3 linked regions of the Bombyx mori genome follow. Each later gene encodes a partner of the first gene's protein in a complex. Links are inferred from orthologs where the notes say so. Each region holds a gene or a part of one and is shown in the gene's direction. Other genes may lie near its edges. The genes, in order: nuclear pore complex protein Nup93, nucleoporin Nup35 and nuclear pore glycoprotein p62.

Evidence for each region.
Region 2: the proteins of nuclear pore complex protein Nup93 (region 1) and nucleoporin Nup35 are in contact, whole or in part, in a crystal structure (PDB 7MW1), measured with the Homo sapiens proteins. The link is inferred for Bombyx mori from reciprocal best matches to the Homo sapiens genes NUP93 and NUP35. Residues at the interface, in NP_055484.3 of Homo sapiens: Tyr266, Tyr269, Asn402, Ala407, Asp408, Lys409, Thr410, Glu411, Tyr413, Tyr448, His452, Phe453, Val455, Asn456, Leu461; in NP_612142.2 of Homo sapiens: Ala88, Pro89, Pro90, Val91, Arg92, Ser93, Ile94, Tyr95.
Region 3: nuclear pore complex protein Nup93 (region 1) and nuclear pore glycoprotein p62 share a complex: the UniProt entries of both Homo sapiens proteins name them as parts of the p62 complex. The link is inferred for Bombyx mori from reciprocal best matches to the Homo sapiens genes NUP93 and NUP62.

What each region holds. Positions count from the first base shown.
Region 1 is NC_085110.1:14,002,546-14,006,657, reverse strand, and holds the start of nuclear pore complex protein Nup93, read left to right. Parts: upstream 1-1,289; 5' UTR 1,290-1,517; coding exon 1,518-1,687; intron 1,688-2,176; coding exon 2,177-2,357; intron 2,358-2,883; coding exon 2,884-3,186; intron 3,187-3,361; coding exon 3,362-3,504; intron 3,505-4,112. UniProt on the Homo sapiens protein: Plays a role in the nuclear pore complex (NPC) assembly and/or maintenance. May anchor nucleoporins, but not NUP153 and TPR, to the NPC. During renal development, regulates podocyte migration and proliferation through SMAD4 signaling.
Region 2 is NC_085128.1:2,336,174-2,340,311, forward strand, and holds the start of nucleoporin Nup35, read left to right. Parts: upstream 1-1,308; 5' UTR 1,309-1,436; coding exon 1,437-1,590; intron 1,591-1,812; coding exon 1,813-2,244; intron 2,245-2,519; coding exon 2,520-2,700; intron 2,701-2,970; coding exon 2,971-3,082; 3' UTR 3,083-4,138. Other genes in the region: uncharacterized protein LOC105841428, read right to left, coding at 38-178. UniProt on the Homo sapiens protein: Functions as a component of the nuclear pore complex (NPC).
Region 3 is NC_085134.1:6,717,924-6,722,091, forward strand, and holds the start of nuclear pore glycoprotein p62, read left to right. Parts: upstream 1-1,298; 5' UTR 1,299-1,475; coding exon 1,476-1,542; intron 1,543-1,729; coding exon 1,730-1,786; intron 1,787-2,067; coding exon 2,068-2,169; intron 2,170-2,656; coding exon 2,657-2,784; intron 2,785-3,372; coding exon 3,373-3,451; intron 3,452-3,825; coding exon 3,826-3,950; intron 3,951-4,168. UniProt on the Homo sapiens protein: Essential component of the nuclear pore complex. The N-terminal is probably involved in nucleocytoplasmic transport.

The sequences.
Region 1 (4,112 bases):
AATTTCATCACAAGTACTTGAACTTGATGTGGTTGAAAGTCTCGGTAATTCATAACATGGATCTCGTACAGAATCATCACTAGAGAAGTCAAGTACAGGATGGTATGTTAAACTACTGACTTGACCTGATGATGTCGACGGTATAGGATCGTCTACCACTAGGTTCTCTGTGTTCAAAATCGACTGTTGATTTACATTTTCTAAAAAAGGACAAGACAATCATCTATTTATAATGATATAATATTGATATAATTACGTAATTTGCAAATCATAATTTTGAAGATATGTGAAAATATACCTTCATTGCTTTCCAGATGAGTGGATAACGCCATTTCAACTAATTTCTTGCATCTTTGAATATTCATCTTAAATAATTAAAATATTTAAGCACTCACACACAACTAACTAACACAACTAACCAACAAACTGTGCACAATCGACAACATTAGTAAATTAAAACCACTTACCGAAGTATTGTTTACGTTATAAATATTTTTAAGTAACTACTTTCTCTAAAGAAATGTTACATTTTGATGTTCTTTATAACATAAGTCAGACTTCTTACGTTAATAACTTTGTACTTATGGTGTTCCTTAGAACATAAGTCCAGTTATGTTTTTTAGTTCGTTTGACTATATTAGGATTTGATAAGGTTGATACAGAACGCCGCTTGAATACACCATGAAATACTTGAGTTTGATTTATGTGCTTTAGTCAGATTGTGTGTTGAGCAAAATGTAAACCGATGATGTAATAAAAAATAAACTGAAAATTTTGACTTATGTGCTTTAGTCTGCCGACCCTAGAATTGTAATTCGATCTAAGTATTTTAGCGGTATTCAACGATATTAATGAAATGTACACGTCATCTCGGATCCTCCAGATCCACTAACGGTGCTTTTAGGTACTTCAAGCGCCGGTCACCGTTCTCGTCGAACCCGTCGCTTGCGACGAAGGGCTCGACGAGTAAATTAACTCTTAGACACAGCCCACTGAGTTTCTCGCCGGATCTTCTCAGTGGGTCGCGTTTCCGATCCGGTGGTAGATTCTGCGAAGCACGGCTCTTGCTAGGGTTCGTGTTAGCATCGTCGTCAGGTTTGAGCCCCGTGAGCTCACCTACAAACGTTAGAGCGAAGCTGAAATAGCCTCTCAAGGCTATCAGCTTAAGTAGGATTTTTTTTTTATGTAATACTACATTTTATTGTCATATAAAATATAAAGTGTTAGTGCTGCCACCTTATGATCGTAACAAAAATTACAGTTTTATTAATTGGTCATTATAAAACCAGTCATTTAGTATTGTTTAATAACATTGTGAGAACGTGACACATCTATTCTGATTTGGTTTTTGAGGTAATCGATTATAAGAATCGAAGAGTATTAGTATATCGATTCAGATTGAGCATCCTTATGAAATACTAACCTAAAACGAAAAAAACAAATAAAAACCAAACTATTACAAATAATAATTAAATTCAAATTAAATTGTTTTTCATTCAAAACGCGAATACTCTAAAATGGGAGATGAAGGATTTAGTAAACTACTTCAACAAGCAGAACAGTTAACGACTGAGATAGAAGGTAATGAAGAATTGCCGAGAGTTGAACGTTCTTTAGGGCAAGTTCTCGAGGCCTCCCAGGAACTTTACTCGAGAGTAATACAATCTGGCGCTAACGATATTCAAGCGTAAGTATTAAATTCAATGTGTTACGGGTAATGATAAAAATAAATGATGTAAAGTGAGACCGAATCATTTTTTTTAAATTTAATCCGTTATGAAGTTAATAATGTTTCTAGTCCCATACAATCAGTCGGCATAGTATGTATTTGCAGTATTATAATAGTTTTAGTTGATATACAGTTTTTTACTAGCCGTTAAATCGAGGAAAACCCCGAAAACCTTCGAAGTGGTAGATCTGGTATGTCATATGACAGTGGTATGGGAAAGTTGGATTTGTATAGACATAGAACTATCGATATCAATAATAGTCTGACAATATTATTATTATTAAGATTTTCTGAGATAAATTATTGCAATATAATTAGTATGTAAACTAACATTTGTAAGTTTAATTTATACAGAACACCTTAATCAATTTAACACAGTAATTAAGTACAGCATGACAAATCTATATTAAACCAAAAAGCTATTTTCAAGTTAAAATTTACTTTTAGGCACTTATTGTTTGGCTCTAAAGGAATTGATCTAAACCAAATCTCACAAAAATTGGAGACACTTAGTTCAAAGCGTACTTTTGAGCCCCTCCAGCCAATAGCTGATTCAGATATTGAAAGTTTTTTGAAGAATGAAAAAGAAAATGCTATATTATCCCTTATTGATGAAGTCAACAAAAATGTAAGTATTGATACTAAGTATGTTAAAGTTTACAGATTTGATTTAAGAATTTATGGACCATGGCTACATTCTAAATAAGAATAATTGGCCTCTGTGATAAGAAAACAGTCACAGTTGGTGTAAATGAAAAGAAAATTTATTAAGATACAACCAATACAATTATTAAGATATAATATATTGTTGAGTAATATTATATGTACAATTTTTATTGATACTATAATGCAAATGAATTCAATTGGTTTTTATGACCACAATCTTTGAAAGTACTTTGGCAATACAATGTTAAACAGTGAAGTCTGGTTGCTTTAGTTACTATGTTTATATGATGCTGAATTTTTATTACATTTTTTCATTAAAGCTTAATTATTATTATTGTGTCCATTAAGTTTCAGTTACTACTAACGTCTTATGAAAAATTAAGAGTACTTTACAAAAACAAACTACTGTTAAGAGAAATTTACACAAGTAATCAATTAATCAAAGTTAATAAATTGATTATTGAATATCCAATTCAAAATTATTTCAGTCCCTGCAAACAACAGAGGATCAAAAATGGGAACACATGCTCTCAGAATGGAATAAAGAAAAGATCAAACTCATGAATGCAATGATTGGTCCCTCACAAAACTGGCTAGACTTGAAACGCACTCCTGAACCTCCTAGTATTGCTGATGCTCCTAAAAAATTTGGACATTCAATGTTGGATAATGTTGAAGCAGCATATGCCAGACAGGTTCATCAGTATAATAAATATGTATTCCAAGGTGCTAAATCAAGAACAGCTTTGCATCAGAAATTTGCTCAGGTAGCTGAGGACTTCAATGACCCTGTAAGTAAACTGTTTAAATCAAGGAAGTGTACAAATATACTATATTTGCTACTGTAAAATGGCCTAGTTGTTAGAATACACTGAATACAATGAAGACCTTGTGGTCAGATTTGTATATGTAAAATACCATACCAAAAAGTAACAATAAAGTAAATGACATTGTTTTTCTTTTCAGAAAGTAAAGGAGATGTGGGATATAATAAATACGATGGCCAATATCCCAGCCCTGGTGAGAGATGAAGATCCACTGAAAGCAAGAGGCAATCCAGCAATACAACAGTGTCTTGTCGCACAAGGAAAGAAATACTTACAGAAAAGGTTTACTTTTATTTTTATGTACCATCTAAATATAATAATTTATCTCTATATCTCTCTCTGTATTTTTTTGTTTATAAATTACGAACCGTACGTTTATATTAATATCTGATTACAATTTTCTGGAAAATTACTTGACTGTGGGAAAACATAGCATTGGATATGTTGTCTTTCAGGTGTTCTTATTTGTCAGCTCATATTTCGGATCAGTAAGAGAATATAAGTAGATTAGATTTTAGTCTGTATAGCAGGATTGATAGCTCCTCCACAAAACCATCACCTTATACCTTATACTAGGGCATCCAAGCTTATTTATATCATTGCACTTGAGGCATTTGGTGTAACTCAAGTCGAGCAACTTTGTAGGTAGTGGGTTGAATTACTTGAACTAATATTTATGCTTTGTGGTGGACATCTTCTGTTTGGCATTCTTAATATCTAGCATTATTTTGTTGCCCCACAGTTATAATCCACTGGCTTAATAAATATTGGTGCTTGTTAGCAATACTTTTATATTATTGATAAGATTGAAAATGGTAGCATATGAGTAGCATGCTGTCTATAATATAATAAAAACAATGTCCTTTTGTTGTTAGCTCATAATTGAACAC
Region 2 (4,138 bases), on another chromosome or scaffold:
TTAACCATGTATTTATTTTTAACAAATACTAACTTACCTCCCTATTAAACAACTTATGAACAACGTTGTGACTGTTAGCTGGGGTACATTGTGGAGTATCAATAAGAGGTTTATCACATTCATTTTTATTAACAAAATTATAATTCTCAAGCTTTGCAGCCCGAGAATCCATATTCATTTGTTTGACAATTTGACATTTAACTTGACATCTAGCGTAGTTGCTTCGTTTGTTTAGTCCAATTTAATAGGCAAAGAGAGCATATGCGCTGAGGCTTTCATATAATGAGAATATAGGTATCGATAATATAGATACTTTATATAAGCCTGACGGAATCCATATCGCTGGTGAAAAGTTGCATGATACAATTGCATACAACTAATTGATACAAATAACAAGAGATAGTACTTTGTTAGGGTTGAATGGAATGAAAAAACTACTCCGTAAATAAGTATATATATATATTGAGGAGTAAAAGGTTTAAGCGACATTTTGCTTAATATGCGACATTTATTTTTGTAATTAAAGATCCATTTCATTTGGTATTAAATTAGCATCAACAATTCGATGTTTTTAATCGAACTTCAATTATATTTACACCATGCAAATAACAAGTTTTTTCATTTCATTTTTCCAATTTTAAGCTTAAATGGTTCTCCTGCAAAGTTTTAAAAGTGTCGCTTAAACGAAATGGCCTTTCACCCCTCGATACCATGATTTCAATGCACTATAATTTGGAAGAAGCCGGAAATTCACATAAATGTATCTCGTGTCATTTTCTCACACGTATGCACTTTCGTGAATATAAAACTATTGGTAAGACTAATAGGTAGCGTGGCTAGGCCTCGCACAAGGTGGACCGACGACCTCCTGAGGTTCGCGGAAATCCGTCGGATATAAGTAGTGCGGGACCGCTCGCTGGCGAGGCTCGTGTGATGCCTATGCCCAGCAATGGGCTGAAAGAAGAAGAAAAAAAAGAGGATAAAACCAATACTGGTGGTATATAAACGTTACCAAATAGAACCATTCAAAAGATCGTCAGGTTTGAGCCCCGTGAGCTCACCTACTAGTTACGGTTACGCTGGAATAGCCGCTCCAGGCTACCAGCTTAGGTAGGAAAAAAAAAAACATTCAAAGCTTCACTCTCTCCTTTACAGCCAATAAAAAAGCTGGAATAATTTAGAAAATTTAAGTATTGAATACAGATATAATGTACTATTTAGACATATATCATTGAGTTTATGTAATGTATTTGTATGCTATGTAATACTTGTTTTTTTTATTATTTATTATCTATGAGTTTAACGACAATTACAAACTGTCAGTGTCAACTAGAATTTGACTTCTGAGTAAATTAAAAGTAGGAACGTTACGGTTAAAAGAAATTAAACGTGCAAACTTGGTAGCTAAATCATATACATATAAAAGATTTACAAAGATGGAACCAATGACACTTGGTAGTCCTACACATTCGCCCTCAGGGAGCCCTAATGTAGGGTATTTACCGCCTTTTCTGCTGGGTGAAATAAATCCGCCAACAACACCTAGAACAAATAGTTTGTCCCCAACTAAAGGACGAAATCTAGCATTTGGTATGTATAATAAGATACCGGGAACAGCACGCATTGCAAATACCGTTTTAAGCATGTAGCTTTAGGGTAAAATTCTGAATAACCTATTCAAGTGACTTTACCGATCAATCTGAGCTTCAAGCGTAGTCTAACTCCTAAAACTTTTTATTCATTTATGGGCATGTAATTGCTAGAAAATTAATACTTAAACATAAGTAATGTCAATGGTAATCTTTTTTGCAGGTTCACCTACCAGTCCTAGTAAAACATCAACACCAGATCAAAAAATATACCGTCAGAACATCTCTATGCACCAGCAAGCGCTGTATAACCAACAAAGCACATATACTAATATTCCGACTTCACCCAACATATCTTACTCGACTAAGCCGAATGGTCCACCCATTGAAGACTTATTCGACACAATAAAAAGCAATGAGCCGTCTGTAAATAAATCATTGTATAATGATCACAGTTTTCTTGGCTATGGAAATAATATGATGTTACAAAATTCCTATGGAAATAACATCGATCTGTCTGTTAACAATCAATCTTTATCCCAATGGCAGGATATTTGTCAAGAACAAGATGAATACTGGGTGACTGTGTTTGGGTTTCCACCTAATGCTGCTAATACAGTATTGGCAAGATTCAGCAACTGTGGTGCTATTCTGGGTTAGAATGTTATTAACTCTTACTCTTATTATATAAAAAAGATTAGCTCATGTCAATCATCATTGTCTTCTTTCATTAGAAATGCTGATTAAACTAACTAAAACTATTTAAATTAAGTAATCTGAATTTTCTAATACTTACATACATTTCAGTATTAATTTGCATATATTGCTAAATAATTACTCAAATAATTGTTATGATGATCAAATCTCTTTTTATTATTGTGATTTATTCTTTTCCACAAAACTATAATTTTTTACAATTTATATCAATAGACAAGCAGTATCCTACACAAGGCAACTGGGCCCACATTAGGTATGCGACAAGAGCAGAGAAAGAGAGAGCCATGGCTTTAAGTGGAAGGCAAGTCTTGCCAGGGGTAATGGTTGGAGTAATTGAGTGCAAGGAACCACCCCGAATATCTTTTACTAGTCCTGGAATTATGTCACCCGAAAGGTACAATATCTACAGTTTAAATATGTTTAAAATAATCAAATATTACTATTAGGGTTAAATTGGTCATTTGTGCGTTTCTGTGTATTTTATTTATACGATACCAATATTAAGTACCTCCAAATTATCTGGAAGTTGCTGAACTATTCTTGTGTATAATGCTCAATGCGAAAAAAGGATATTAGAACATTTTTAATCTATTATTTCATTTGTTATTAAATTTCTGACTTGTGATTGAGAGCAGCTATTATTATCTTTCGTTTTTATTTGCAGGCAAACTACTGGAGCCCGATCCCTATGTCCAACACCAATACCCTCAGCACCAGTCCCTCAGAAGTCTAGTGGTCTCATTTCCAAAGCATTAGACTATGTGCTGGGATGGTGACAAATACTTTATCTAAAACTTTATTGAAATAACTTAAAGGGATACCACAAATACATTTACATTAATTTTGTAAAAGTTTGATGTCTCTGTGGCCTATAAAATGACCACTGTTCACATCATGCGAATGTTGTTTAATCACAAAATAGATACTAATTTTCACAATTTTAATGAATGGGGTGAGGATGACAGTTTTACCTGATAACGTCTGGACTTCGGGAAAAAGAGATATTTCATCATCAAATACTGAATAGTTTTGATTTTATGATTTGATGTCTGTGGCCTGGTAGAATAGAAAGAAAAAAAACGCGGTCTGTAGGTTTGGACAAGGTCAGTAACCTGTATTCTAAAAAACTTATTTAAATGTCATTCCATACTATTTATATAGAAATAAGATATTACCTACTATTTTAACTCTTCCAGCCCTACTGATCTGAATTTTGAGGACATTAATCTCAATGTAATATTTTTGTTTAATAATATAAAATTAATATTATTCACAAAATTATGTTTACAATTTAATGTTTATTACATAATCACCTGTGAAGGCCGTGTTTTCGTTTAAGGTAATACTGTCATCCCTATCTTCTATATAAAAAATTGTATTAGCAACATTGTAGTAATAAATAGATCATAAAAAAAAAAAAAAAGTAGGTATATATCGAATTTAGTGGTTGAGCAGGTTCTTAGCCTGTAAGGACCGATACTACTGTCCTATATATTTCTGCTGAAGTAGCTCTGCTAATGTAATTGAGCCTAATCTCATCTCTCGAGGGAAACGGTGTATTCAGGTTGGGACGCTAATGCTTTCCGGTGACCTTTATACCTGTAGAAATTAGCTACTTCACATATAATTGAGAAAGATCTAGCAAATATTTATCTAAAGGATATTTCGTTTAAAAAAATTATCAAAATAGAAACTTAACGAATTTAAGAATTTTATTAAACATTTACAACATTTACCAGCAAGAGCTGCGCCATTTGAATGTATTAAAACAATATGTCAGAAAATAAATCGCATGTAACCTATAATATTAAACGACCTATTTTTTTTATGTG
Region 3 (4,168 bases), on another chromosome or scaffold:
CCAGATGACGTCACAGTGGCACGAAATTTTGGTTGACGTTTCATTTCCATAGGTTTCCTACTTCATTGGTCACTATGGAACCTACGAGAATAAGTACGGCAGATAAAATATTAAGTAGGTAGGTATGCAGGTAGTCAACTTACTTTGAAAACTTTACGCCTCATATTTGTGCACTTGTATACAATGGATTGTTATTCAAAAAGTTTAAAACCACACACACCACGTCTGAGATAGTTTTTTCTTTTCTTCTCAGTCGTACACTCCTAGCGGAGTGGTCGTGGTTATGTACGTCTTATTTAGACATTTCCATAACTCTCATGCGAAAATAGTAGCAGTGGCTTAATAAAATAAATATAAATAATTAAAATAGTGTTCTGATATAGTAATGCGAGCATGAAACACGAATCTACCTGCCGAGATAAACAGTGGCTAACAAGGTAACCAAGGGCCCCAGGGCAAATAAAAAAATGGGGCCCCACTACTATGTAAGCGGATTAGGTTTTATGAAATAAAAATAATATGAAATATACAAATACTTTAAAAATGCTAAGCTACTTAAGCTCTTTTTTTGATTGCTGACGTGGCAACGCATCGCCATGCACAAGCGACTGTCTCATTTTATTATTGTATTTTTCATATTCCACACCAATTTTCTATTCTAAGCTATCCATATAAACATCTATACTTGTACAAAGTAATATCAATGTTTCAAATCTACAAGCTTTACCGCGATGGCTCGTTTTTTCCTTTCCTTTGGAACACACCATCAAACTCGACTTTGGAACAAACTTGCTTAATTCAGGATGTGGCAAAAGATATGGATGATTTCATCTAAAATTGTTATTGTTATCATCCAACTGATGTTATCAAAAGCGATTTAAAGGTATGGAAGAGATTGCCTTTAAAAATCACATACAGTAAATTGATTTGAATTGAACAGAGTATAGAGAGTTGGATTGGAAAGATAATTTACGGTTTCACATTTATCGTTAGGATTCATATTAGGTGACGAGAAAAAATGGGGTAATTAAACATTGTTAGGTATTTTTTATACTATGTACTATAAGAATATAGTTTTAGCTTTTAAATGCCTTATCTTTCTTCTTTTGCCACGATTATCTTTCATATATTTTTCCTTTCCGACACTCATTTTCTAGAATTGGTTGCGATGAGAACACGGGAAAAAATATGCTTGCAATCTGCCTGGCTTGAGATCTCACACAAGGTTTTCAATTCCAGTTTAAATCAATTGGCTACGTTTCTTTTGCCAGTCTGATCGGACATAACAAAAAGTGACTTTTGACACATTGAAGTTTGAACGAATGATTAATATCTCGATAAATCTTACTGTTGGTAAATTTTCTAACGGCGGCAAACAGTAGTGCTTACTAAACATTTATTGAAATATCTAAATATACATACTTCCATCATTTAAACTATTTTACTTTTACATAAGTTTATCTATAGTTTACAAAATGAGTTTTTCTTTTGGAACTACTACAACGTCGTCTAATACTTTTGGTACACCAACACCATCAACAGGTAAATTCTTTTTGGTTTGATTATCATGTTCCAATTTGAAGCTTTATAAATTGAAATACTCTACAATACGATTCGAACTACGATATATATGTTTTTTTAAACAATAATTAAATTGTCAATGTAAACAATATAACCACACTTTTTTCACGTTAAGATCAAAAAATTAATTAATTGGATGTAATTACAGGATTTTCATTTGGCAGCGGTGACGCTTCAAAGCCGTTATTTGGTGGATCCAACACAGGTACGATGCGTACAAAAACTTCCGGTAACAAATACAAGCGATATTTTAAATCTGAATTTTTCTGTTACAAGTAACAAAAATAGACAGTAAAAATTTAAGGGACTAAGGGAATTTAAGGCACCACTGTTAATAAATCAAGATTTATTAACAGTGGTGCTGGTTTCTTAAACCAAGAGACATGGATATTTTCAGAAAAGATGAAGTACACTCATTAGATATCCAAACATGAATCGAATCCCAAAAGCATATAGAAAATGCAAATAATATTTTTAATCTCTCAGAAAACAAAGCAACATTCAGCTTCACTAGTCCCACAACAAGTGCACCAGTATTTGGCAGTTTTGCATTTGGTGCTAAAACAACAAATGCAGCACCTTCACCATGTAAGTAATGGCCTTTGTTTACTTAACGCTGAATATACTGTATGGTTGTAATTAAACCATAGCCAAAAGACATGCAAAAGATATTTAAACAACTATTAACACTCCTAGCTGACATGTGAAAAATTATTTAAAAAATTATAATTATCCCTCAAAGGGGTTCTTAAATGATCAATATTTCATAAATATTTATTTACACTCAGATCCTATGTTCTAAATACAATTTTCATACAAGTTAAAGTTAAATTAAACTCCAGGAATGAATCTAACACTAAAATAGAATTGACCTACAAATAACAAAATAACATAGTGCTTAATCAAAATTATCACCACACTACTGAATCACAAAATGTAAGAGCCTTGAACCTTTCCTGCCCTACTCTTTATAGACAATGAGAACCTACCTGCTCAAAAAGAGGCTTACATCAAACATTACGAAAAACATTCTACTCATAACAAATGCCTCTCACACTTATGTATTGTATGGCAGTTTCATCTCCATCGACAACGACTACAACTGCAGGCTTTGGAGCGAATAAGCCAACACCCTTTGGAGGTTTCACTTCACCTCCTAATCAGACAGTTGGCAGTTCTGCCTTTGGGCAAGCAACAAATCAGGTGTGTACAGTAATTTTGTTGGGAGCCTGTTAAACAAACTATTCGTCAGTTTGGTGTGATGTCTCCAGCTGCGTTTATCGATCAATACTGTATTTTGCATTTCACCAAATTAAGTGGAAAAAAAATCAGTTATATTTGTAAATTTTACTGGTGGTAGGACCTCTTGTGAGTCCGCGCGAATAGGTACCACCGCCCTACCTATTTCTGCCGTGAAGCAGTAATGCGTTTCGGTTTGAAGGGTGGGGCAGCCGTTGTAACTATACTGAGATCTTAGAACTTATATCTCATGGTGGGTGGCGCATTTACGTTGTAGATGTCCATGGGCTCCAGTAACCACTTAACACCAGGTGGGCTGTGAGCTCTTCCACCCATCTAAGACATAAAAAAAAAAAAAAACAATGTTCTGCCATTGTTAAATTGTTGTGAAAAAAATGATATCTTTTCTTTCTTAGTTTGAGAATGCTTACATTCTACTTATCTTTTCTTTCTTAGTTCGAGAATGCTTACATTCTACATAACTCTTATATGTCGTTCACTGTGCTCCTTTGCATGTGTTAATGCCTTGTAATGCTAGTGAATATTTCACAGAATGCAGGACAGGCCCAGAATCTGTCGTTTGGTGCAACCACCACAGCACCACCGGCATTCGGTACACCTGCCACACAAGGTTGGTTATAAATATAATAATATTATAAATTTATTATTATAATGAATATATAAATGATATTATACTAAAATGACGATTATAATGGTAACACAGCTTAAGACCTGGATTGACAAATATAATTATTTTGACATGGCAGATGACATGGATAATTATAAATTTAAAATTAAAAAAAAGGATAATAATATTGCTTTTGTAAATGCACTAGCGCTCAGCTTTTGCTATTATGAAAATTGGACTTAAAGTTCAGAAAAGTTTTAAGTCATTGTTCCTTACAAACGAAATTTATAATTACTTCACCAGTACGTCTTGCTTGCATCAGTAATAAAGTGAACAGAAATTTTAAGAAAAGGAAATGTATGAACATGTTGTTTTAGCTGCTGCCCCAGCATTCGGTTCCAGTGCAAATACAGGTTTTAGCTTCGGGAAGCCGGCATCAACGACAGCTGGCTTTAGTTTTTCAACACCTACATCTGGTTTCTCAGCACCGCAAGCTAGTACTGTAAGTTTTTGTTACAATCCCAAAAAAGAAATCGTTTTTAGATCATCTCCAGTTAATTCCTTTGTTTGTCTGTTATTTTTGTTGTTAAGTTTAAGGTACAAAGGTAACTATTCTAAATCCAACTTCTGATTACAATAATTTGTTGAAACCAGGAGACAATGTCAGTCTGTATATAGTAGTTACCTAGTTGTAAGCATTAACACTACACTGTTTCTGCT